Rattus norvegicus: one gene and its partners. The protein of the gene in region 5 purifies or fractionates together with the protein of the main gene of each other region. This does not show direct contact. Links are inferred from orthologs where the notes say so. Each region holds a gene or a part of one and is shown on either strand. Other genes may lie near its edges.

Region 1 (5,057 bases), about 21 Mb from region 5:
CAATTTGAAGAAATATACACTTTTATAACACTATCCATTTATAAGATACATAATGTTTACAAGAGTTTACCTTATAATAATTTGCAATTACATATTTCTTAGTAAACATACTGTGACCCATCTAAGTGTCCCAGTAAATGATTACTCAACAAAACATTACATTACACATATAGGACACATGACTGATTACACAACTGCACCAACATTAACACAGTAACTAGACATATTTCATTTCTATCATATCAGAAAATTAAAGTCTAGAGGTGTTTCAATACCATCCAGAACAAATGACAATACTCTGCACCTCATGTCTCTCAATAAACAAGGTGCCATCTCAGGTTTAAAAGCATCAGAGAAACTGAGAATCTTTGTTCTTGAACAGAACAACTTTTGGACCAAGCCCCACATAAAAGAAAGTAAGCTTCCCAATCTTTGTAAAGTCCTCCACTTTTTAGGTAGATGCAGGGACTTTAGATAAAATGTTTATAATCCCTCCACCTGGGAGAGTTGGGCGGGTGGCTTTCCAAGTGTTTGCCAACCCAGATTACCTGATGAGTTCAAGGACAGAGGGCTGCAGAGTGAAACTCTCTCAAAAGAACAAAGACTGGATGAGAGACAAGTTAAGCTAGTAGTATCTAAGGAGTCAGCCCCTTCCTCAGCATTTTAAACCCCACTGCCAACTTACAGTCTAGCCTTTTTTCTTCTTCCCTAAATTATTTTTTCTTCTTAGTATGTGTGTTGGGCGGGGTTCAGATGTGGATCAGACTTCCAACTATCATTCTGCCTCAGCCTCTTAAATGCTGGAATTACAGGTAAGCATCACCAACCATGTCTTGGGTGTTAACATTTTTAATTGACAGACCATAATTATGTATGTGTGTATGTGGGGGATAATGTAACATTTTATGATATAGAGAATTTGGAATGATTAAAATGAGTTAAACATAGCCTCTCTTTTTTGTGGGATCTTTTCTTAACAGAGACTATCTCCATCATATAGTCTAATATTGACGGATAACAGAGGGTCACTAACTTCAACAGCACTGCTGACATTTGATAGTTGTTAAAATGAATCTAATTCAGAAGGGAGGGGGGCTTAAGAAGCTTCCTTCCCAAGAGCCATAAATCTGCAACTGCCGACCACACTGGCCTGAGAGTCAAAGGAAACGAGGCCTGCTCCGTCCTTTCTCAATGTATTTTCCATGTACCTGCTTTGGGTAGTACAGCCACTAGAGATATCTACATGTTATCACTTCCCTACTCCTCCTGGTAAGCCCTTAGAGCAACTCTCTTAAGAAATCTATTGTTATCTGCACTTCATAGATCAGAAAACCACAATCGACTCAACCAGACCCAAGGCTGCTAAGTGGCAGATCCAGATTTCAAATCCAGGACTGCTTGGCATAAAAGTTCGGGTTTGTTGTATCAAGCTACACTGTCTAGTGATAATATATGCACAAAAGTAAGCAGTATGTCTCTTGAATTCTACTCATTGATGCAGGTTCTTGCATTAACTCCTCCTCCACAGCAAATACAAGTGACCATACCAACACACCCACGATTACCAATTCAATCTTGTCGAGGAGACAGGACTGCCAAGGAATTGCCAATTCTTATCTTGGTTATATAAAACGAACAGCTCGAAGTCTATATAAAAGTCCTGGTATGAAAGAAAGCCTGAAGTTTGTTCTGCCTTATTCTCTTGGGGTGTGGGTGGGGGCAATATAGAAAGAGCCCAACACGAAGCATAGGCATTTCCCTCATAGTTATATTCAGCCATCTTCGAAAAGAAATTTTGAGTCTCTGCTCCTGTCTTTCACGCCTGTTGCTCTATTACTGCAGGGACTGAGTCACAAGTTACCTAGTTTCTCCCATGGCAGTGTGCAGCCAAACCAGTCTGGCAGCTCAGCTGTCTCTTGTGTGAGGATTCCAACAAGCCTCTTGAAGGTCTGAGAACTGCGGCCACTTCTCATCGGAACAACTGTAAAGTGCAACCCTCTAAGTACAGCCCTAAGACTGTGCAACGACTCCTCAGCTCCAAAGACTGACATTCACTCCCATTCCTTCCCCCGACGCAAACTCAAACAACCACTCTCCCACTGAATTAACCACCACATTATATTTAAGTGTATTTAATCTCCAAGCAATTTCCCCGAGCCTGCATAAGCTACGCCCCAATCCAAACAAATTCCTTCTCTAGGAGGAAAAAAAAATCTCTCTAAAGACCAAACCCTGCAGGATAGTTAACTTTATGTTGAACGCAGATCCATCTATCCGCCCGTTTAACACAATCACTCTGGAGAAACAGAGACTCGCCTCGCCCTTACTCCCTGCCTTAATAAATACTGGGATCTGGATGGTCACGCCAACAGTTTCCATCAGTTTGATCTCTGACTCTCCGTGGACCAGTGACAAAGACCAAGCGAACTGGAGGCGCCAAGGCTCCCCCTGGCATTCACAGATGCGCCCACACCGGTTGCCTGCTTTCACAATGCGGCTCCTTCGTCCCAAGTGGAGATTTCAGAGAGGCTTCCCGGCCGCAGGCGTTCTGGAAAAGGCCGAGCTCACCCGTCCGGATGAGCAAGTGACAGGTTGGAATTAACCCTTCAGCCTCCACAGCCCGAAAGGCGGCAACTGTGACAGACTCGGATTAACTCTTTCCAGGCCGCCTTAAAGACACAGCCCCCCACCAAAACGCAATGTGGAATTGACCCTCCGGCGCTGACCCTCCGGCTAAAACCTCCCAGGCCCACACCCAAAGGATCGCACGGCCCGGCCCTCAGGGAGGTGACAGGCCCCGGACGCCCGCCAGGCCGACCTCATAGGGCTGCTCACCGCGATGACATTGACGAAAGTGGTCTTGCCAGAGTACTGCAGCCCCACCAGCGTCAGTTCCATCTCCTCCTTCCAGAAGAGCGAGCGGAACCAGTCCAGCAGGCGGGAGATGAGCGCCAGCATGGCGGCGGCCGGCAGCGAGCGGGGACGGGCGCGGACGACGACAGACACTGCTTCCCACGAGCGGGTATCGGCCCGGAACCCGCCAACGGCTCTTCAGCGGGCCCCCCGGCGCGACTCGGGTAGACACAGATAGGAGGCTGCGACGGCCGGAGCCAGGAAGCCCAGCGGGTCATATGATTCGCCCTACCCCCCCCACGCCCAGCCCTGCGCAGCCGCGGAAGCACACGGCAAGAACGGCGAGGTCCCATAGACTCCGAGCGCCCGCCGGCGACATCGCCACCTGGTGGTGCGTCCCAAGGCACAGTGTCATCGCCTTGGTGTCAATTCACTTTGTCACATGTTTTTTCTCTTTCATGGTGGGTTCATTCACCATTTTTTTTTTCCCAACTTATTGGGCTCCTCACAGTCGCAGGCCAAGGATTTCAGTACTAGAGAGGTGTAGGCAGGAGGATCAGAAGTTCAAAAAGCAAAAACGGTAGTGTTACAGAAATGACTCGGAGGTTAAAGGGCTTGCTGCTCTTTCGGTGGACCGGAGAGTTCAGGACCCAGCACACACAGTCTGGCAGCCCTCAACAACTTGAGCTCTGAGGGGGGGGGGGGGGGGGGGGGGGCAGATCCAGGGCTTTCTGACCTCCGTCGTACACTCTGCAAGCACGTGCACATACTCCCACAACAAAACACATAAATCATAATAATCTTAAAAAAAAAAAAAGAGTTGGGGCTTGAGAGATGGCTCTATGGTTAAGAGCACAGACTGCAGTTCAATTCCCAGCAACCACTTGGTGACTCACAACCATCTGTAATGGCATCTGATGCCCTCTTCTGGTGTGTCTGAAGACAGCAACAGTATACTCACATTAAATTAATTAACTTTTTAAAAGAGTTGGTCCTCATTCACTTATTGACTGAATTTTTCTATAATTGTTTGTTGACAATGTACCCTGAAAGAAAATGTTAATACTCTGAGTAGTTGAACACGGAATAAAAAAAAATCAGAATTTGGGTTGGGATGTAGCCCAGTGGTAGAATGCTTGCCTGGCATGTATTGAAGCACTGGGTTCTGGGGAGGTTGGAGGGGGTGGGGGGCAGGGAGTGATCAGGAGGCAAAGTGAATAAATTAATTCATGGGAAAAAATTCTTTCCCAGCACGTAAAAGACATGGGGTTCGTTTCTAGCACAGCAAAACAATAGTAACAGCAAAATCCCTGCCCTCCTCTGGCTTACAGTCCAGTGTGGAGAACATACAGCAAACAGAGGAGAAAATGCTTCATGGTACTTCACGTTGTAAAGAAAACTGAAGAGGAACAAAGAAGAAGCTGGAACAGATTCTCTTGTCTTTAAGTCAGGTGGTCCTGAGTGGAAAGGCTTGAGGGAAGTGAGAAGGAGAAGCAGGCTGACCTTTGGTAGAAGCACATTCCAGGAAAAGACCCTGAATGGGGAAGGACAGTGAAGTGGTTTGGAGGTTGAAAGACGGTGTGCCGGAGGCAAGGGGGAAATGATGGAATTATATTTTAATTGAAAATATTTTTTTAAAAAGACACTCCGGCTGACTGCCCCAACTTCCCCAGTTGATATCTGCTTCGTATTTGTAAACCTCTAACTTGATGCTTTCTTGTTTAGCTCTCTCAACCAACTACTCTAGTCGCCTCTGCTGGATGTTGTGAGCTTGCTATTTGGTAGAGCCTGGCTACCTATCGCTACTTGCTATTTATTCTTTTACTTTTATTTGCTGTGTACTTAATAAGTACATTCATTTAAAGCCAAAAATGCAGCCAAAAGTTTATTCTTGGAACAATACAAAACACTGGCGTAGATCAGTGAAACCTGGAGTGGGGAGAGGTAGAAAGAAAATTCAGGGACAGGGGGAGTGGGACACGGGGCCCTAGTTTGGATTTGATGATAGAAGATGGGAAGCCAGGAGGTAACCTGAAGATTTAATTGTTTTTATTGTATGTGTGATTTTTCCTGCAGGTGTCTCTTTGCACCACATCCCTGCCTTACCTGAGAAAACGAGAACACATTGTATCCTCTGGAACTGGAGTTACAGACAGACAGTTGTTAGCCTCCATGGAAGAGCAACAAGTGCTCAACTACTGAGG
Region 2 (4,789 bases), on a different chromosome or scaffold from region 5:
TCTACTCTGCACTTTAATGCACTAGGGCTATGCCCCCATTACCCAGGGATACAGTAATATACATGAAAATTAGATGGGAAAGTAGGAGATGCCACAAAAATATTCAAGGTAATTTCCATTCTTGGCCTTGTCTTACCAGTAATGCTAGCTGAAAAAGACAGATCCTCACCTGGCAAAGCCCTGAGGCAGCTCACCCAGGCCATAGAGTGGGTACAAATATGGGCTCTTGCCATACCGGGCCAGGGACTCACTGTACAACTTGATGCGGTTAATAGTCTCAAGACATGGCTGATCCAGGTAACTACGGAAAAAGAACCAGGGAATATGCTTTGATAGCAGCACCCTTGTTCATTTACAAAGACACCAGCCAGCCTTCCCACCACCCTTTGTGACCTGGCAAAGATGTGGGTCAAATGGAGAGGGATGGAAATGGAACAGGTGAGCCTGGAGCTGAGTACAAGTGACATGCAGGATGGGCAGTAGGTACAATAGGCAGGTGTGGAGAGGGTGTGAGCCAGACAAGGGGCTCCCATCACCAGCCAGCTTTCCCCTCACTCATCAGTGCGGTAGAGCGCCAGGGCATGGCCAGTGAAATCAATGACATCTTGGCCCAGGTCAAACTTCCGGTAGACATCACGCATGCTGGTGGTCTGCGGGTCAACACCCTCAAAGGTTTTGGGGTCATTCTCATCAAAGTTTGCCACAAACACCAAAAATTTTCGGAAGCGTCGTTTTTCAAACATGCCCATCAGATCTGAAAGAAAGGTATTGAAAAGATCATTTGCATTACTCGGACATAGAGCTCCTCTTTCTAACAGAGCAGGCCAGGAAAATTGGTGCCTTGGCTCCCACCAGAACTCTCTTATGCAACACTGCTCCACCTTTCTTGGTCTCAATTTTCCTATTTGTAGGAAGAGACCCTCCCAGCTCCACTTAGGGCAAGTAGGCCCTTTGACAAAAAAGAATCCTCTTCTGTGAACTTCCTTTCTGGCAACTTGCCAAGATTGGTAGCACTGTCCAATAAAGAAACTATAAAGCAAGGGGCCTCTAGGACTACACGGAGCTAAGATTAGGTTTATGCAAAGAGGAGCCTTTTGCCCAACTGTCCTGAAAACAGTTTGTCCCCTCCAGCCCCATTCTTCTGCTTAAGGAGACTCATACTCACTAGAAGCCAAGGCCTCAGTCTCAGTAGATGGCACTTTGTAGATCTTGCCCCCTTTGTATACAAAGCTGCCCTCTACCACCTTGAAGTCCAGATAACGAGTCACTTCTGTATACAGTAGCATCTTTACCAGCTGACCTGTGTCCAAAGGGAGTAAGGGTGTGTTTTCCTTCAAAAAACTCTCAGTAGTGTGACTGATCATATTCTGGAGATTGAACACCCCATACCCCATCTTCCTACTCACCACCCCCATCGCCCTTTTTAATCTCCCTCACCATTGGCCATGAGGAATTTGGGGATCAAGTCAACATTCCAGTCTCGGCCCCGGCCCATTGATTCAGGGGGCCCTTCCAGCAACTGAAAGCGCTTATATAGCTGTAAGCAGGACAGGAAAGAAAGACAAATGTCAAGGACTAGCTTCCCTTCCCCACTCTCCTGCCTGGGACCTGAGAACTACTTCCCCCCTTTACACCTATGTGGGGGACTAACAAGGGGTCTGGGTCTAAGCCCAAGTCTGAGAATAAGAAATCTTACCTCCTCAAGGGGTGTGATAGAAGAGCTCTCACCCCCATAGTAGGGGTTTCGGTCCATGTGCAACACCTTCTTTCCATTCACAGACATGATGCCAGACAGGATGCATTCCTGGGGAAAGAGTGGCATTGGCAGCTATACCTCATCTACCCTCCAATGAGCATCTCTGATTTGTCCCTGCCTCATGCCCACTACAAAATTCATAATGCAAAGTCCTACCTCTTTCCAGTGCCTAAAACTGGGGAGGGGAAGATAGCTTCATATGATGTTTCCTTTATAACCCTGCTGAGTAAACTACTAGAGCATTAAAGGAGGCTTGGGGGACAGAGCTTACAGTTCTTCTAGCATCAACAAGCCAAAAGTATCTACCTGCTCTGAGCTCACAAAAAGACAAGACAATGAGTCTACAGAAGAAACAATTCAAAGGCTCTTTGAAAGATAAGGCCAAGTCCTTGAAATCCCAGGCTCCACCCTGCTCCTCCTTTTAAGGGCAGGAGCCCCTGACTCTCTTCTGGCTGTGCATCCACTGCTCTAGGCTCAGGGTTCAAACGAAAAAAGATTTGTGCGGGGGGGGGGGGGGGCGACGGGGACACCGGACACTCTCACCAGTCACTGTCACTAACCCAAGGACAAAGGCTGAGGATATATATTCACTCTGAGGTCTCCATGGGAAACCGAATTGGGGTAGAGGGAAAGCGGTCACTAACACCCCCTCCCTACACACCACACACACACACACACACACACACACACACACACACACACTCCCTCCCTCCCTCCCTCCCGCTGTTTCTGGAACATTCCATGGGTTCCCTATCCCTCCCAAAAGGCAGAGAGGCAGGATGAGGGCCCACCCTTGAAAAGCCCCCATATCTTTATCTTCATACTCCATGCCCTAGTGTGATCACAAGATGGTAAAAGATGCTAATCAATTACTTGAGCAGGTGATGAGTGCAGGCGAAGGGTGGGGTTGGATGCAACGGGTCCAGTGTGTGTGAGGGGGGTGAGTTTTCCACCTCAGTGACACAGATAGGGAAGGTGAGGGGTCCGTGGTTAAGATCTAGGGTGCTGGAATACTGGCCAAAGTGGGGCCCTCTACGAAGAATTGCGAACTGGCATCAACACTCTAGGATGAGGTAGTGGGGTGGGCATGGGCTTTTCCAGGGCTGGAGGCAGGAACGCAATGATGGGAGGATGGGTCGGGTAACCCGGACTCTGCATCACTGCGGGGTGGGGGATGGCATGATGCAGGGCTACGAGCGCCTGAGGTGGCACTTACGGTAAGACCTGTCCCCAGCACAATCACATCGTATTCCTCATCCATGGTCAGGCCTTGGTACCAGCGCCCGCTCTTCTTCTCCTCCTCCTCCTTCACCACAGCAGCTGCTACCAATGCCTCTACTGTTGCTGTTGCTGCTGCTGCTGCTGCTGCTGCCGCTGCCGCTGCCGCCGCACTGACCCAAAGATGGCGTCTATCGGTCGTCTCCCGATCCCTACGCAGCGTCAATGAGTCCCTCTCCCTCCTCTGGCCAAGCCACGCCCAACCAAAGCCACCATTTCCTCGCTTGTTTTCTAGGAGGGGTTCTGGCACCTGGGTCCCAGCACCAGAATGATTGCAGGGGTTAACGCGGCTCTCCGTGAGCCCAGAGAAATACGGGGCGGGGCAGGCCGGCGGCAGGTGCTACGTCTAGCGAAGGATCCTTGCGCGGGAGCTGCGCGCGCCCCGCCCCGCCCCGCGCGCTCCCGTACCGCCCCTGGGAGAAACAGAAAGGCATGGAAGCCCTGCAGTGTGTTGTTGCAGCTGGCCCTAGCGCTGGGAGAGCTGCCATTGTCAGGATTCCTCCCATGGCGAGGAAAAGTAACAAGCCTCTTCTCCGGCTTGTTAAGAGTATCGGCTTACTGAAGACCCTCCCACCCTTCCTCTCTCATTTCTTGCCTGACAGGACTACATCTGAGCAGTTCTTCCCTTCAGTCAAGAACAAATCTACTTGTCCAGTGTAGAAATAAGTGGCTGGAGCCCAACACATGGCAACACGTCTTTATTTTATTAGGAATGAAACAACAGAGCACACCCCCCCCACACACACACACACATACTTCTGGCTTCTTGACAGGCAATCCTTGTGAGAACAAACCAGAAACCCAATGAGTACACTTTGTTCTCCAGTTCTCGTGGTGATTTCTTCCTTCTCAGGTCACAGAAATAAACCCCAGTGTACCGCTCATTCTTAACCCCCACCCGCCAAAAAAAAAAAAAAACCCATAAAGGCTAAGCTGGACAGTTAACTAGCCTTTCCACACCTCTCAAATTCAAGGGACCTCAAGTTCATGGCTATTGCTGGAAAGCTCCATAAAGCTTGGGGAGTGAGTATTTACTACACAAAAGCACTATAAACAGCACGAAATAATAGCAGAGGGGCAAGAATAAATAAGGAGAAAGGGAAAGGGGGGCACCCTAGAATTAAGGTCCCTTCCCCTCTTGATGAAGCCTGGAAGATTTATCTATGAAGAATAATACACTTTGTTGGTAGAAGTGGGGGATAGCCTCAGGGAAGTCCCTGTCCAGGAAAGAGGAAGCAAGACAGGCTGAGGGTGGTGTATGTAGGGTTCATGCTATAGTAGGAAGAGGACAAACCTTTCCATCCACTGTGTCACAAAATGGAAACCTAGACACCAATACTCCCTCAATCCCTCTCTGGTATATGTCACACAATCTGGGTCAAAGTGATGGTGGGGCCCTTGTGGTCATCAAAGCGATCCATGGTCTTTAGGCTGAGTATCATGTGCAGACCATAGGTGAATATGAAAAGCATGAAGAGGGTGGTGAGCAGCCCCATCCAGATGCCCGGAGAGAAGAAGCCAGCACAGTCGCTAGCATAGGAGAACTGTTCACCAGTCACATTGAAGGCTTGGATCTAGGAGATACATAGACATGGATCAGATGGGACCACAAGGTTCTACAAACAGTTCAGTGCTGGGATTCTGGAATTAATGAATAGTTATACCTTCAGAGACTATACAAGGATGGAACTCTCTCGGCTACATGCTCAAACCATGCAGAGATTCTCTGGGCCCTTTTTCCCGCCCCTTATTGCC
Region 3 (5,080 bases), on a different chromosome or scaffold from region 5:
CATGCTGGGCTTGCATTCTAAGTCCCATATGAGCCAGTCCAATAGACAGTTTCTGTTGCCATATGGCTAGGGAGCAAACCAAGCTCTCCTTTTGTATATTTACTATTATAATAATGGTTTCTGAGCATCTTGTTAAAGGCTCAATCTGAACCACAGGGTCCAGAGTCCTCCCCACCCATAAAGAGGTATTGTTTAGTTAGATACTATCTGGCCAGGTCCTGGAAGAACACCTCCCATCTCGCCCCAGGGAAAACGATTCCTGCAAGCACTGCCCCTACAGACGGCCTGCAGCAGTGTACCTCTCTCCATTCCCAACCAGTCAGTAACTTCTGCTTTACAGGGGCACTCACACCTATGGGTTCCTCAAAGCAGCAGCAGTGAAGTGTGGGGGATACTAGCAGAGAACTTGTGCCTAAGCGCCAAGTACACCCAGCAGGGCTACAGAACACCAGGATGGCCAGCGATGACAGTCACCTTTCTACAGCAGACCCAGGTGATCCCAAGGCCTGGGTGGAGGCCCAGAAGTTGCCCTCTGACCTCCACATGAGCTATCCACCTCCAAACATTTAATTCTTTAAAACAAAACCCCACCACGGTATAACAGAGAAACTAAGACACAAGAAAGCTACTTCATCTGAGCTAGCCTCTGTGGCTCTTGTCAGTCAGATCAGCACTGAGAGCCCAGGCTGCCCTTCTGGAACTTTTTCTAGCTCAGCTCTAAGTAAAGTGCTCACATGCTGTGACTTAACAGTGGGATGGAGACCATCCATCTACCACAGGAACCTGGGGAAAGCACAAAGCCCCACACACAGTACAACAACCTTTCTGGAATCCTAGGGGCTACCCTCCTCACTTTGGCCACATGTTTCCCTCAGTCACTACCACTGAAGGTGTCTGTCATACTGTGGGGATTTCCAGCAACAGCAAAGGTCCTCAGAGAGCAAAGTGATGAGGGGGTGGGAGGGTGGGGGGGCAAGCCCTTACTACCACCAGCTCAAGAGTCCAGAGTCTCCACCTGCCTCAGCTTCAGCATGAGGACCACATGGTCCCAAACAACCCCTGTCTAAAAAGCCTCATTCTGGAAATCAGAACTAAAACAAATCACCTGTGAGCACCCTCGACTACCACTGGGGCCAGGCACCTTACTCTAGCTGTCATACCCACACAACCTTGTCAGAAAGGGGAGAGCACAACAGGCCCAAGGCCTTGGCTCGAATCCCATTCACCCATATCACTCTAGCTTCAAGCCCAGAAACACCAGTCTGACAAGTTCCCTGAGGACTCGGGATGTTGTAGAATGTCAAAGGAGCTGCTTCTCGTCCCTCGTGATTCCTGCTGTAGATGAGCGTGTACTGTCGTAGCTCTTATAATATCTGACTCTGCTAGGCCAGGAGAGCTTCCAGAAGTCAGTGAGCGGTCTACGTCATCAAATGGGTGTTTAAGATCCCACGATTTAATGTGCACCCACCATACCTGGTAGTTAATTCCCAGACCCACGTGCGACAGCTCACAACTGCCTATAACTCCAGTTCAGAGGAGCCAACACCCTCTTCTGGGCTGAGTTCACCTGCATATATATATATAAACTCACAAAGGCAAAAAAAACCCACACACATTAAGTAGACATTTTTTTAAGTGAATTTACCCCACAGACCTTTCTTAGCCACCTAATGTGTGCCAAGTGGTCCCACCCAAGACCCTAAAGGTAAGCCTGAGTTGGCCCTAGAGTTTTGTCAGTCTGGAGAAAAACAGGCAGGCCTTCAGTAGCTATGCCTGGCTTACTATTAAACAAGACTGAGTAAAGCCCCTCACTCATCTGTCTGGTCAAGGAAAGAGGAGCCTTGGATCTTCTGGGTCTGCAGTCAGATTTAGTGTTCCAGCTTAACGGCTGTCAGTCTGAAAACAGACAGTGTTTGGTGAATTATTCTCCAGTTATTCAGTACCTGGTGCTGCCCAAATGCTTGTTACAGACACGGTAACAATGGCGTTAAAATAACACGACTGTAGATTTAGGGAATCCCTTCCAGTACACCGTGTGGAACCAAAAAAAAGGGGGGGGGGGAAGGTCTGCAGAGGTTGAGTTCAACCCTCCCCAAAGCTCCTACGACTCCTAGGGTAAGTGTCAAGGTTTCTAAGGTGTCCTTGTGCATGACCCAAGGCTTCGTATTAATCGGATCATTTTATTCTTCCCCCAAACTCAGTGAAGTGTATATAATTGCTCCTATTTCGCAGATGAGAAGATTGAAGTTTGAGATCTTCCTACCAGTGTGACCTTGGACAAACCATGTAGAATTGCAGGCCTCCAATCTGATGTCAGGCCCTGAAAACAGTTTCCAGAATGCACAGTTGCATTTGGCGACACAGAACACGGAATCCGTCCCTAAGGCCAAGGAGGCCAGGCATATGGCTCCCTATGGGGTCTCGCTTTCAGTCCAGGCCCAGGTCCCTGTTCCTGCGGCCTAAGTCCACTCAGGGCAGCCCGTTCCGCCCGGGAAGGCACTAGCATGCACGGGAGGGACCCGGCGCCACCTACTCCGGGCGTGGGCCGGTTAAGGCATGTAGGGGCCAGGGGATCCAGGGCATGGCCATGCCTGGAGCGCGTCCTCTCGGCGAAGGAAGCTGGGTCTGCACAGGCCCTCGGAGCTGGCGGGGAAGGGCTTGGGCCGTGGGAGGGTCTCTACCAGATCCATGCCGACCGGATCTAGAGCCAGAGGGCGCCGCCGGGAAAGGTCACCTAGACCCGCGGCCCGCCCGGCCTCCACGCGGCCGCCCTTGCCCTTCCGCCCCTCGCATGTTCGGATAGCCCCTCGCTTCCAAATGCAGGCGCTCTGAAAGATCGAGCTAGGATCTCTCCCTCCGGAGATCCGCTCTACGCCTGCCCTCCAGGCCTCCTCTACAAGCCCGCTGCCTCTCCAGGCCCGCGATGATCGTCCCTGGTTCACCCTTCCCGGGGCTAAGCTCCTAGGCCCGGCGCCCTCGCCCGATCCTCCCTCGATCGCCTCCCTAGAGACTCCCCAGGAGCGCGGCCCGAGGCCCTGGGGACCCAGGCATAGCCCGGGCCCTCTCCGCTGCGCCTACCTCGGAGGCGGTGACGGCGAGAGCAGCGGCAGCTACGGCGGGGGTTGCGGCGAGGAGGCTGGGAGCGCAGGGAACGGGCCGAGGGCGGGGCGGCGCAGATCGCGACGGCGCGGACACGCCCCAGCTCTGCGCGCCCGGACTCCAAGCTCCGCCCTCGGCTCCACCCCGGACAGCGCCCAGACCAGTCCCGGGGTCTTCTTCCCACCCGGGAGCAGCGTTCGCACCATCTGCGGCTCTGTGATCATGTGCGACCGCGCGTAAAAGCCTGCGTGCACTTTGGCACGGGGCGATAGGGAGGCGTGGGTCTGACGTGCGTGAGGTGTGTGCGTGCGCGGGGACACGCGGGTCACTGTTGGAGCCACCAGGCTGCTGGAAGCATTTGAGAAGAGGGGGAGGGGAGTTTCCGGCACAGTGAGCAGTGGCCTAAGGACCTCAGCGAATAGGGTCGCCCGGAGTCTTGTGGCTCCTGCGCAGCCTCGAGGCCGCGAGTCACTCCGAGGCCCAGTGGGGACACACTGGGCTCCGAAGGTGGCGCTGCATTGGGCAAAGCGGCTACTGTCCTCTGCGCTCCAACCTCGCTACACTGGGTTTCCGGAGCCTGCGACACGCCCGCGTGCGTCAGCGAGTGAATTGCAAATTAAACTCTCCCGAGGGCCGGCTCCGCACTGCACATTTGCGTGCAATTTTCCCTGGTGTCGAAGCAGCTTTCCGCCATTTCCCAAGCATTTGAGAAATTAGAAAAGACAAAGTGAGTTTCGTGAGACTGCGGAGTCTCACTACATGAGGAGGTCACGCGGGTTCTGGATGTCTGCTCTCCTGCAGTGTAGAGCGGACGGTCACTTTCTCCCAGCCTGGTCTCATCAGCGCATGGCCTCCTTCCCTGCTGAGGCTCCCAGTGTGCCACACCAAGCCAAACCCAAATCAGGCTTGGAGAATTTGTGAAATCGCATGTGAGTGAAGACTTCACACCCTTTGCCTTCAATTGACAGACGTCCTAAGAGAATCAAGGCATTTGGGGTCCAGAAGAGGAGACGTCAGGTGGTTGCTCACAACCTGCTGTGCTGAATAAGACAGCTGGGACACTGGCGGCCACTCCAGATTTAAAATGCTGTTCCGTGGGCTGAACGAAGGAAACTGATGGGGGCTGGGGGAACGGGCGTAAGCCCAGATCTAGACTATGAGGGTAAGCCCTTCGGGCTAGGATGTGGGCAGACACAAAGCTCGGTGGCCTAGAGCTTGCTTTGCATTACAAAGAACCACAGTTTTTACGTAGCTTTTCAAGTCTGCACACCTACCCTGTAACAAACACCCAATCCACTCCCAGAGTTAAAAACCAGGCACCAAAAGCTGCTGAGTCACAACAGGGAGGCAGAGTTGGAAGGACAAGACCTGGGGACACGAGGAAGATTTGTCTCCAAGAATCTTACACTTGGCCCTGAGCCCTGATGCCCAGCTGTGAGGCAGACAGCCAATGTTCAAGATCCTCCAAGTACCTTTAAGGTACCTGAAGAGTTCTAGTAGCCTTCTCTGGCCTCCCCAGCTGCCCTGGGTAGGGTTTACAATCACCGAGAGAGCTTGTGGGCCATTTTTGACTGTGTGTCCGTGGGTGAGCAGAAAATCTGGCTTCTCGGAACCTCACCCTGGGAGTGTCAGTGTTGGTTTAGAATGAAACGGTCTGGAGATGTACCGGAGTGGTAAGGCTCTTACCTAAGACTCAGTGAGTGGCTTGTGTCACGTTCCCTGGGGAGACATAGACAGCTATTTGCTGTAGAGAGAGCACAGATGACAGACTAAAGAATTCTACCCAAAGTCTACTTTGGCAAACCATTGTGTTGAAGTTATTTACAAGGTGAATCAAAGTAGCTGAAAAGATCACCCTAACGGCTCCCAACGCACAAAACCTGTGTGTATCCCTGGACCTGGGCACAAGTTCAAGAGTCCCCTCTCCATTAGCTGTTGACTATTTAGAGGGGCCTCGTGAGTCTGATAGCTGAACTTCCGA
Region 4 (4,763 bases), on a different chromosome or scaffold from region 5:
GGGTGGGGATGGGGTAAAAAGAACAAGCTTCTGAAGCAGGAACTTCAAATTAAAAGCTGCTGGAGGATGAGAGACTAGATCAAACACGAGGGTGGGTGAGGGCATCTGTCCCCGCTGGGCACATTTTCCCTCCAACTTGCCTTTCACCCAATACCACCATCTCTCCCACAGTCCTGTTTCACACAGAATAGGATTCTTCCTTCTACCCTGTTTTGGTTTTGTTTTGTTTTTTAAGGACAAGACCTTTGCTGTGTAGCCCAGGCTGGCCTTGACTTCCAGCAATCTTTCAAGTTTCTCCTTCCTCAACAAAGAGATTACAAAGCCTGGCCAACTATGCCTGGCTTTCAGATTCCCCTTCGGCAGTGCGCTCCCACTGAGGTCTATCTCTGGTCCTGAACTCTTTCTTTTTTTTTTTTTTTTTGGGTTCTTTTTTTCGGAGCTGGGGACCGAACCCAGGGCCTTGCGCTTCCTAGGCAAGCGCTCTACCACTGAGCTAAATCCCCAACCCCCTGAACTCTTTCTTTTTGAGCAAGATCTTGCTATGTAGCATAAACTGACCTTGGACTTAGAATGTAGCCCAGGAAGGCCTTAAACTCCTTGGGAAAGCTTTGAACTCTCATCTTCAGTCTCCTGGGCACCTGTGGTTACATGTGGGTAGCATTGTATCTGGCTTTGCTATAGGAGTCTAAAGACGTGTATACTCTGAATGAATGAAAACAAGAACTTTGAAGAACTCATTCACCACTCTGTTTCTAGGACTAGTACGCAAAATATCAAAAAGAAAAAAAATAGATAACAAGCCCAACTCCTGAATAATTTAATAGATAAAGGCGAGGCATATAGAACAGGTACATCTACTCGACAGACTGTGGGAAGCTGAGGCACAGCACTTTACACTACTAAGAAACTTTTGCCACTCTGAAGGTTGCATTGTTAGGAGAGGCGATTAAAGGCAGAACTGCACTCAGCCTTCACAGAAGGAGACTACTGTGGCAGTGATGGTGTCTCAGGCCCCTTTATAATTGCTGATAGGGCTTCAAGTGTAGCTCAGTGGTTGAATACTTGCCTAACCTATACAAGGTCCTGGACTGAATCTCCATCACTGGGAGTGGGTATGGGAAGAGGCAAGAGGCTGCCACCAAAGACGGTTGACTCTCCTAATCGAGCCACTTAGAACTTGGAGGAAATGTATTTAAAAAAAAAAAAAAAAAAAAAAAAAAAAGCTGCATCAAGGACCTTAAAGACCCATATGCCTCAACTACTGAATTCACCTTTACATGTTCCTACAAACCCCAGTGGCTAAGACTAAATGATCTTGGGCCTACAAAATAGGGCAATTTTACAGCCCCTGTACCTAATCCTTCAACCTCTCCAGGACTCTTCATGACTTAGAACATGCTTCTGATGGCCATTATGTCTCTGGGTTCAATAATGGGAAAGATCTGCAGTCAGCTATGCAGAAAGGAACACCGGGAGGATTCTTCCTCACAGGTGCTAGGACACACGGGAAGGACTCTGTGATCACAACCAACTCCACCGTGCTCCTTGAGGCTCTCTACTGACAAAACACCAGTCAGCCAAAAGGAAGGGCTGGTTTCCATTACCCCAGGATGAATGAGATGGATGAGTGGTCACCTCATACCTTCCAGGTATTTGAATGACACCTAGGATTACAACAGCAGGCACAAATGATTTAATAGGAATCCCAGAAAAGCCATCAGTGGAAACACATTCAGGAGATCAGACACCAGGAAGAGCTCCCCCAAAAAGCTCTGGAGTAAGCTCTATACTCAGGTACCGTTTGAGTCCCTACACACACCAATTCGGCCGTTTAGTCTGCTGGGCTCTGTGCAAGGAGCAGACATGGCTGTTGAGGAACACAGCAAGCATGACCAGTAGGGAGCTGGGCCCTAAGTTCTCAAAGTGAAAGAGAGCTGGATGGAGGAAGGAACTGAAGGGAGTTGAGTAGATCTAGTTAATAGTAACTCTGGGAAGCCACACATGGTGACTCATGCCTACAGTTCCAGCACTTGGGAGGTGGAGGCAGGGAGGATCAGGAGTCCATGGCTAGCTTTGGCTACTTGAATTGGCTGTCTCAAAACAAACAATAACAAAAACAAAAAACAAAACCACCCTCCACGCCCACCTTCTGCCCTCCAAACCAAAAGAATAAAAACAGATTAAAACACAAGGGGATCTCTGAGGCCAGCCTGATCTACAGAGTGATTTCATAGAGAGATAAGGCTAGAAACATGCTGTCTCAAAACAAAAACAAAAAACAAACAAACAAAAAAGCCAACAGCAAAACAATGAGATGAATGGGGGTAGGGATATTATCAAAATACATTACATGCATGTATAAAATTCTCAAAGAATTAATGTATATTAAATTTAAAATGACAAAAGGACTGGGGGAAATGGTAGGAACTGAGGCAGCAGAGTCAGGGAGAGTTTATAGAAAGGTCTTAAGTAGGTAAGTGCCAGAGAGAACTTACCTCTGTGATCAGCTAGGAAATGAGGTAAAAGTCAAGTCGGTAAAGAAAAGATACACACAAGACTTGAGATAAAGCTGTGATGTCAGTTATCAAGAAGAAACCGGCAAGTTAAACAGGCGACAACTTTAGTAGTGGGTCAATAGGAGGGAGACAGACCTAGGGTATTTGGGATGAGTGAGCCGGATATGACAAGCTGTGATACGAAATCAGAGCCAGAATGGAGGGTCAAGGGAAAGTTCAGAAGAGTTGAAGGCTAAACATTATGTTGAGATAAGAGGTGGTGGAGGGATGTGGCTCGCTCCAATCCGGTTGCAACTGGGCTAAAGAGGGGTCACGAGTGACACTACACTTTTGCAAGACCGTTGGTTAGGGGGACCCGGCTTAGGGCTGCGGTTGACTGTGGTGGAGACGGAGGGGAGAGACCCGGTGGCCGCTGGCTGAGGTGGAACAGGCCCCAGTAGCTAAGGGCCGAGGTTCCCACCACAAGTCTCAAGGCGCCCAGGGGTCGCGAGCGGCTGCGAGGCTGCAGGCCCACCGCCGGATCGCGTCGCTGCCCCGCGCTCCCCTCCACGTCCAGACCCTAGACTCACCAAAGGGAGCAGGAGCAGGTGGCGGAGCTCCAGGCAAAGCGAAACGCCTCAGTTCGGAGAAAAAGCCGCGGCTCCAGAGGCACTGACAACAGGAAGCGGCGCGCGGCGTCTGACGCCATCACGTCGGCTCGCCGCTACGGCCCCGCCCCAGCCCGCGGAACCAATCACGAGGCCTAGAGGAGCCGAGGGGCGGGGCCGGCAGCTCATCTCCTGCGGGGGCATTGCAGGGGTTCTTGGCTCAAGTAAGCGATTCTGCGGCTCGCGATGCCAGGATTCTGGGTAGCGCAGAGTAGCTGGGCCACTGGAGAGTCGGGACCGCCTGTCTCCCGCAGCTCTGCCCCTTAACCCGGTCTGTGCAACTTTGGAGCTGTGGTTTTTTTGCCCCCTTAAACCGAAGATACGACCTGTGGCGCCATTAACCTGTGTGCTTCCCTAAGGGCATTAGTACTGGAGGGAGCAAGTGGATGCTGGGTTCTGGGTCCAAGCGGGAACCCCTAGGACTGGTTTTCCGGAGCCAGGAAACAGTTGTTTGACTTGTCTTATACCACGTGATCGCCCTGCGGGCTCTCTTGGACCGGTTAGTTTAATTTGCTTGCGGTCAGCCCTTTGAGGCGTGAAGCCCAGAGGGCCTGCTTTTTATCTTCCCACTATTTAATTGCTGTGTTCTTTTACAGAAAATGACAACTGTCTCTCGGAATAGACACGGAAGAAAACTGTCAAATGTGACTAATAAAGGGCAGGGCAGGCAGTGTGCATACTGCACCCTGTGGACTTTGCCCAAAAGGGAATTTAGGGCCTAAATGTGGGCCATAGAGATTGGGACTGTGAAAGGGTGCGTAGTAAATATCTTGCTTCTGTCTGTGCGTTTATATGAGCTTTGCTCATATCGATTTAGAGGGCCTTATTTTCTTGATGTCTTCCATTCCCTATGGCTCCTACACTCTTGGGGTTCCCTGAGGCCTGTGGGGAGGGATTTAAAGAACCCATAAAAGGCTGGGTATTCCAAGGTCTCTCACTCTCAGCAGAATATCTGGCTGTGGGTCTCTGTATTTGTTCCTATCTGCTGCAGAAAGAAGCTTCTTTGATGATGGCTGAACTTATCTATGAGTATAGCAGAGTGTCATTAGAAGCCATTTTATCATTGTCTCTTTTTTTCTTTTTTCTTTTTCTTTCTTTTTTACCAGTTGTGGTTTGAATATACTTGGCCCGTGGGAAGTGGCACTATCAGGAGGCATGGCCTTATTGGAGGAGATGTGGCCTTATTAGAGGAAGTGTGTCACTGTGGAGGTAGGGCCTTGAGGTAATATATATTTGAATATAATAAACTCTGGCCGGTGTGGAAGAGGCAGTCTCTCTTGGTTGCCTTCTAATCAAGGCTCTAAGAATACGCTCCTTCTCCAGCACCAAGCCTATCTGCATGCTGCCACGCTTCCTGTCACTGTGATAATGGACGGGACCTCAAAAACTGTAAAACAGCACCGATTAGATGTTGTCCTTTATAAGAGTTACCTTGGTCATGGTGTCTTTTCACCCTAACCAAGACACCAGTACTACTTGCTTTTACCCTAGGTCCCTGGGCTATCTAGTCTCTGGTTCTTGATCACCCCAATCATGTCGGATATGGGTTCCATCTTGTGAAGTGGGCCTTAAGTCAAATCAGGTACTGGTTGGTCACTCC
Region 5 (5,073 bases):
TACAAAGATACCCCGACTCTCGAAAAACAAAAACAAACAGATGGGTTTTGTATGTTTGATTGTTTTGAGACAGCGTCTAAGTAGCCCCAGCTCACCTTGAACTCTCTTTGTTGACTAGACTGGCCTTGAACTCACAGAGATCTACCAGCCTCTGCCTGCTGAGTGCTAGGGTTAAAGTGCCTCCCAAGTGCTAAGATTAAAGGTGTGGCCCACCACATCTAGCCACTTTTTTTTTTTTTTTTTGGTTCTTTTTTTTTCGGAGCTGGGGACCGAACCCAGGGCCTTGCGCTTCCTAGGTAAGCGCTCTACCACTGAGCTAAATCCCCAGCCCCATCTAGCCACTTTCTACCTAGTTTTTACCCCCCCCCCCTTGTTTTTACATGTATGAGGGTTTTGCCTGAATGTATGTAAGGGCAATGTGTGTATGCAGTGCCCGTGGAGGATAGAATAGAGCATTGGCTCCTCTGTGATTACTCCAGGGGAACTAAAGTCAGAGGAGATGACGAACAGACATAGTTCCTGTTGGGTCTCATGGTTGCCTCCCACTGTCCTCCTCGGGTCAAGTGTGTCACTGCTCTTAGCCACATCCAGCTTTGCTTCCCGACTGCTGGTCTGACTGCCATGTGGAGGCTGATGCTATGCCCAGCGTGAGGTAGTGCCCTATTCTAACAGGGCCTGAATCAGCTTCCACAACTGTGGAGAGTCTGACTCTACCACCAGATTCGTAAGGGTCCTACTTCCCTGTCAAATTTTAATAGATAACCAGACAACTTATATATATTTTTGCCTTGCTTTGTCACTTGTTATTTCTTGAAGATTTCAGTTTGCATATGAATATACAGACTTCCTTTGTTGTCTTAGTTTCAAAGTATTCAATTGAATGGCCAAATAATAGTTAATCCATGATTGAAATTGAGCAAACTTCTCACTATGAGTGTTTATTTAAACTCTATTATAGCAAATGGTGAGGATCTTGGCAGAAAGGTCTTGTCTTCCCCTATTCCTTAGGACCTACAAACCTTTCCTACTCCTTAAACCCACAAGCTAGAGCATGCACCAGAGAAGACTATTCAGACATGGGTGTAAGCTAATAAAGGCGACTGGCTACTGCACTGGGTGTTCAATACTCCAATATAAGTTGAGCCTTTCTCAGGGTGAGCTTTTAAGCATAAAAAACAAAACCCATGTTCTGGGTTAACATACTTCAGTTAACAAGAACTGTTAGCTATAAGCGGAACTATTGAAGTTAAAAAGCAAGGTTAGTACATTTTGAGACTTTCCCAGAACTATAATGGACTTTGATGGATTAGGCCTTTGTTTTAGTTTTGGTGGGTGTGATATCTTTCATGCCTATAAAATCAGTCTGGCATATCGTCAGTTCAGCAACTCCTTAGCTCTTTTTCCATTTTCCTGGATCATCTACCCTGCACAGGTATTCAGTAGTTTCTAGTTCCTCTCTGGGTTCCATTTCTGAGAACACTGTAACTGATCACTTCCAACCACATTAGAGATAGCACCCAGTGGACTTAGAAGACCCTGGACCACACCCTGCCTGACATATGGGTGATTGATTAGCGTGTTCCAAAGGGGGACACTCTCAGAAAGGCTAAGTGACTCTCCCTCAGGGTTGGGGCGTGGGGAGGGAATATTGCATTATCAGTTCTTGGCCCAATATGGTGCGCTCCAGCTTCTGCACGGCCTTCAAAGATGGCAGCCCCCATATAGAAACCGCCATATTTACCCCACCAGGCGCCAGGCTAGGACCTGACGCGACCGGAACGTGACGCAAGGTGGAGGCGGGGCTCCTCCCTCCAACCCTGGCGTCGGGCGTCTCGTGACAGGCACTTCCGCTCGGGGCGGCGGCAGTGGCGGAAGTGGGAGCAAGGCCGGAGCTTTGACCATAAAGCCCAAGGCGGCGGCGTTGGCGACGGTGTTTGGGGCTGGGCAGCTCCGAGGAGCCTGCTGGAGCCGGAGTCGAACCTCTCTGTCGCGGCCTGCGTTGTGTCTCCTCCTCTGTTGACCCTGCGGTGAGCGGCGGGCCCGGGCCGCCCTTCCCCCGCCGTGGCTTGGGCCTCCGGGCCTGGCGTCCTCGGCGAACGCCGAGCTGGGCCGGGCCAGGCGGGGCGGCGCCCGGCGGGCGGAGGTCGGAGGGCGCAGGGTGATCGGCGGGCGGCGAGTACGGGGATCCTTGGGCTGGGCGCGTCCCCGCCGGCTACCTGATGGGTGGGAAGAGGTACCGGCCGGCCACCGAGGCAGCGCTGCCAAGCGCGTCACATGCCCCGGCCGGCCGCCGGCACTGGGAGACAGGAGCTTTTCAGGGTCCTGCAGGGTAAATTCTATTTCCGAAGTTTCAGGAGGAAGGATCTCTCGAGTGCCTTTCAAATAGCCTGGTGTCCTCCTAGCTCATAATCGTGCGGATGTTGAGAGTAACATTGTGAACATTTGAGATTTCTGGTTTGCTGGGCTGCGTGGCAAGACCGCACAGGTTGCCCTGTTCTCCAAACAGCCCTCCGAAGCACGGAGGCAGTGTCCACTTACAGAGAAGAACAGAGAGGTTAAGTCACTCGACCAAGGTCACACCGCCGATAAGTTTCAGAGGGAGAGATTGAAGCATAGGCAGTCAGACTACTTAGCACTTTACTGGCCTCTGGCCTCTTCTCCTCTTGATGCTCCCGAAGCTTGCCACCTGTTATCTGTCCATCAGCACCCCCTCCACCTCCTGTCTAATGATGTTATTTGAGAGCTTCTTGGTCCTACCTTAAAGCCATGTTGTATTTGCAGTTGTGACTTACAAGGCATAATACGGTAGTGACGGTAGTGTACTGTCACCGAACCAGAAGATCTTGAATTCTGGCAAGGTATGTATTGGATTTGAATAGGTTTCCTATGCAGCTCTCTTTGAGTCAGGTCTGGCTTGTCTATCGTGTGTACCTTTCTACAAGAATTTCCTACAACAGCCTAGCTTGTTGACTCTTCACTGTTGAAAATATTGCGTCTTTGGCTTTCCAAAGAATAAACTCTTGTCTCTTTCTTGTTACTTCAGCAGCTGATACGCATGATTAGGTTAATAAAATCTCCTGTTGGTATGTTTCTCTTCTATCTTGGAAATATTGATTCAGAATTGAGTGTACGAGCTGGAAAGTGAATTATTACTACTTCTAAAGCTGGCCAAACTAAAGTTTGGTGTCCTCGGTTGTCTGTAGTTTACTTTGCTGTCCGGCTGGGCTGTAAACCTTTGTGATGTGTGAGTTGAGAAGAGACTGGCATCTCATTTAGGAAATGTTTTTCTTCCATATGTGTGTCAGGCATGACTGGGTTCTGACTCAGGGCTACAGGCATGGATGGGTCTTCCTCAAGGAATTGTAAAAGAATGAGCCTCAGAATAATGACTCGGCCATAGGAGAATCTGGGGCTTCTGCAAAAAGTAGTTTTTGTTTTATTTTATTTTTTTATTCCCTCAGGTGAATCAGATATTCAAATGTGTATTGTTCTGGCTAATAACTTGAAATATTTCCCAACTTTTTGTGTGTGCCTGAGGTTGGTATTGGGTGTTTTACTTAATTACTCCCCTTTTTAATTTTTTTGAAGACAGGATCTTTTCCCTGACCCTGGAGCTTATCCCCTGCTAGCAGGTTAGCCATCAAGCTCACATACACACACACACACACACACACACACACACACACACACACACACCACTCCCCTACCCTTCTCTCTTTTTTTTTTTTTTTTTTTTTTTTTTTTTTTTTTTTTTTTTTTTGATTTAAATGTGGGTCCTGGGGATCTGAACTCAGGTCCTTATACTTGTCCAACAACTGAACTATCCTCAGTCCCCATCTTTGTCAGAATTGGGAACCATGTATTCCTAACCATGTATTTGTATAGTTTGCTCTTGAGAGGGGATCATATTCTGGTGCATGACTGATCACCTCCTTTGAAGAGTAACCATCAACACTAAATTTGATTCCCTTTTTGTTGTAAATGATATTTTCGTCCTCCCTTGAGGGGAAATAGACGCCACTTAGTACAGTGCACTGTAATGTGTGAGCAAAGGCTGGGTTTTCCTTTTTAGCTGACAACAAAGCTTAATGTAGCTGCTGCCAGACTTAGTGAAGCATTCTGGAGAAGACTGGTGTCCTCTGCTTTCCATGGCCCTCGGGTTCCCTCTGCTCAAGGGCCCAGGCTTTATCCACATGAGGATCTGACGGGCGCTCTAAAGGTAGCTTTATTAGTGTGATCTTGCAGGTGATTGCTGGCAAGCACACGGTGACTTTTCTGGTTGTCTTTTTTGGTGTCAGTTGTATCTCATTCAGAGGTCCTGACCCTGTCAGAGTGGCCCTTGTAGGAAAAGAGTTGTGAATCAGTTTCTGGCTCCACCACCAAGTGAGGCAAGAAAGATTGGGCATTGGATGCGCTGTCTTCAAAGAGATCCGCACTGATAGTAATGGTACTGCACATTTGTCAGTAACTTTCCTATGAAAATACGGTGTGCACCCAGTCTCTAAGGTCCAGTTGTCACCTCCTGCCTCTATCCTCCCTGGGGTCTGGCATCAGTCTTTAATGTTTTTCAATGATAAGTCATCTAAGCTCCGTCCAAGTTGGCAAATGTGGCTAAGCTAGATGAGTTCTCCTGGGCAAGTAACTAGGAGATGGCCTCCTACCCTGGGCCAATAGCAGCTCCTCTTTAAAGGGTTCCGAGACCCTTATGTTTTGGGTCCTTCTTTCTGCAACACTGAGCCTTGCTCTTCTTGTTGCTAGCAAGACTCTCACCTGTGCTGAGCTGTGGTCTGGGTGCTGCACTCCCGCAGTTGCTGCAAACATTTTGCAGTGTTTTCTTGCTTGTTATTTATCTTCCTATTGTTCACCTTTTAGAGAACATTAAATACTGGAGATCATTTGCATTTTTGTTTTAAAGTTTAAATAAAAAACAAAACCCAAAGCTTGGCTTTAAGTGGTGGTCATGAGCAGTGATTGTGGCCCGAAGGTGAGCGTGACATGATGGGCTAGATCGGTGGAGCCGTCTTGAATATCCTGACCACTTTCTGTTTTAGTAATGCAGTGCGATTCCAACAC

Evidence for each region.
Region 1: the proteins of Rab7a (region 5) and Arl8b purify together in Homo sapiens (affinity purification with mass spectrometry; 4 studies listed by BioGRID and IntAct, with this or other methods). This does not show direct contact. The link is inferred for Rattus norvegicus from reciprocal best matches to the Homo sapiens genes RAB7A and ARL8B.
Region 2: the proteins of Rab7a (region 5) and Gdi1 purify together in Homo sapiens (affinity purification with mass spectrometry; 4 studies listed by BioGRID and IntAct, counting the BioPlex papers as one, with this or other methods). This does not show direct contact. The link is inferred for Rattus norvegicus from reciprocal best matches to the Homo sapiens genes RAB7A and GDI1.
Region 3: the proteins of Rab7a (region 5) and Vdac1 purify together in Homo sapiens (affinity purification with mass spectrometry; 3 studies listed by BioGRID and IntAct, with this or other methods). This does not show direct contact. The link is inferred for Rattus norvegicus from reciprocal best matches to the Homo sapiens genes RAB7A and VDAC1.
Region 4: the proteins of Rab7a (region 5) and Plekhm1 purify together in Homo sapiens (affinity purification with western blotting; 5 studies listed by BioGRID and IntAct, with this or other methods). This does not show direct contact. The link is inferred for Rattus norvegicus from reciprocal best matches to the Homo sapiens genes RAB7A and PLEKHM1.

Annotation. Positions count from the first base shown.
Region 1 is NC_086022.1:143,302,715-143,307,771, reverse strand, and holds the start of Arl8b (ADP-ribosylation factor-like protein 8B), read right to left. Parts: upstream 3,142-5,057; 5' UTR 2,959-3,141; coding exon 2,836-2,958; intron 1-2,835. UniProt on the Homo sapiens protein: Small GTPase which cycles between active GTP-bound and inactive GDP-bound states.
Region 2 is NC_086039.1:157,237,252-157,242,040, reverse strand, and holds the start of Gdi1 (rab GDP dissociation inhibitor alpha), read right to left. Parts: upstream 3,142-4,789; 5' UTR 3,018-3,141; coding exon 2,973-3,017; intron 1,805-2,972; coding exon 1,697-1,804; intron 1,538-1,696; coding exon 1,438-1,537; intron 1,301-1,437; coding exon 1,166-1,300; intron 755-1,165; coding exon 556-754; intron 302-555; coding exon 170-301; intron 1-169. Other genes in the region: Atp6ap1 (V-type proton ATPase subunit S1 precursor), read right to left, coding at 4,399-4,608. UniProt on the Homo sapiens protein: Regulates the GDP/GTP exchange reaction of most Rab proteins by inhibiting the dissociation of GDP from them, and the subsequent binding of GTP to them. Promotes the dissociation of GDP-bound Rab proteins from the membrane and inhibits their activation.
Region 3 is NC_086028.1:37,031,270-37,036,349, reverse strand, and holds the start of Vdac1 (voltage-dependent anion-selective channel protein 1), read right to left. Parts: upstream 3,142-5,080; 5' UTR 3,079-3,141; intron 1-3,078. UniProt on the Homo sapiens protein: Non-selective voltage-gated ion channel that mediates the transport of anions and cations through the mitochondrion outer membrane and plasma membrane.
Region 4 is NC_086028.1:88,859,318-88,864,080, forward strand, and holds the start of Plekhm1 (pleckstrin homology domain-containing family M member 1), read right to left. Parts: upstream 3,142-4,763; 5' UTR 3,086-3,141; intron 1-3,085. UniProt on the Homo sapiens protein: Acts as a multivalent adapter protein that regulates Rab7-dependent and HOPS complex-dependent fusion events in the endolysosomal system and couples autophagic and the endocytic trafficking pathways.
Region 5 is NC_086022.1:122,060,980-122,066,052, reverse strand, and holds the start of Rab7a (ras-related protein Rab-7a), read left to right. Parts: upstream 1-1,867; 5' UTR 1,868-2,027; intron 2,028-5,073.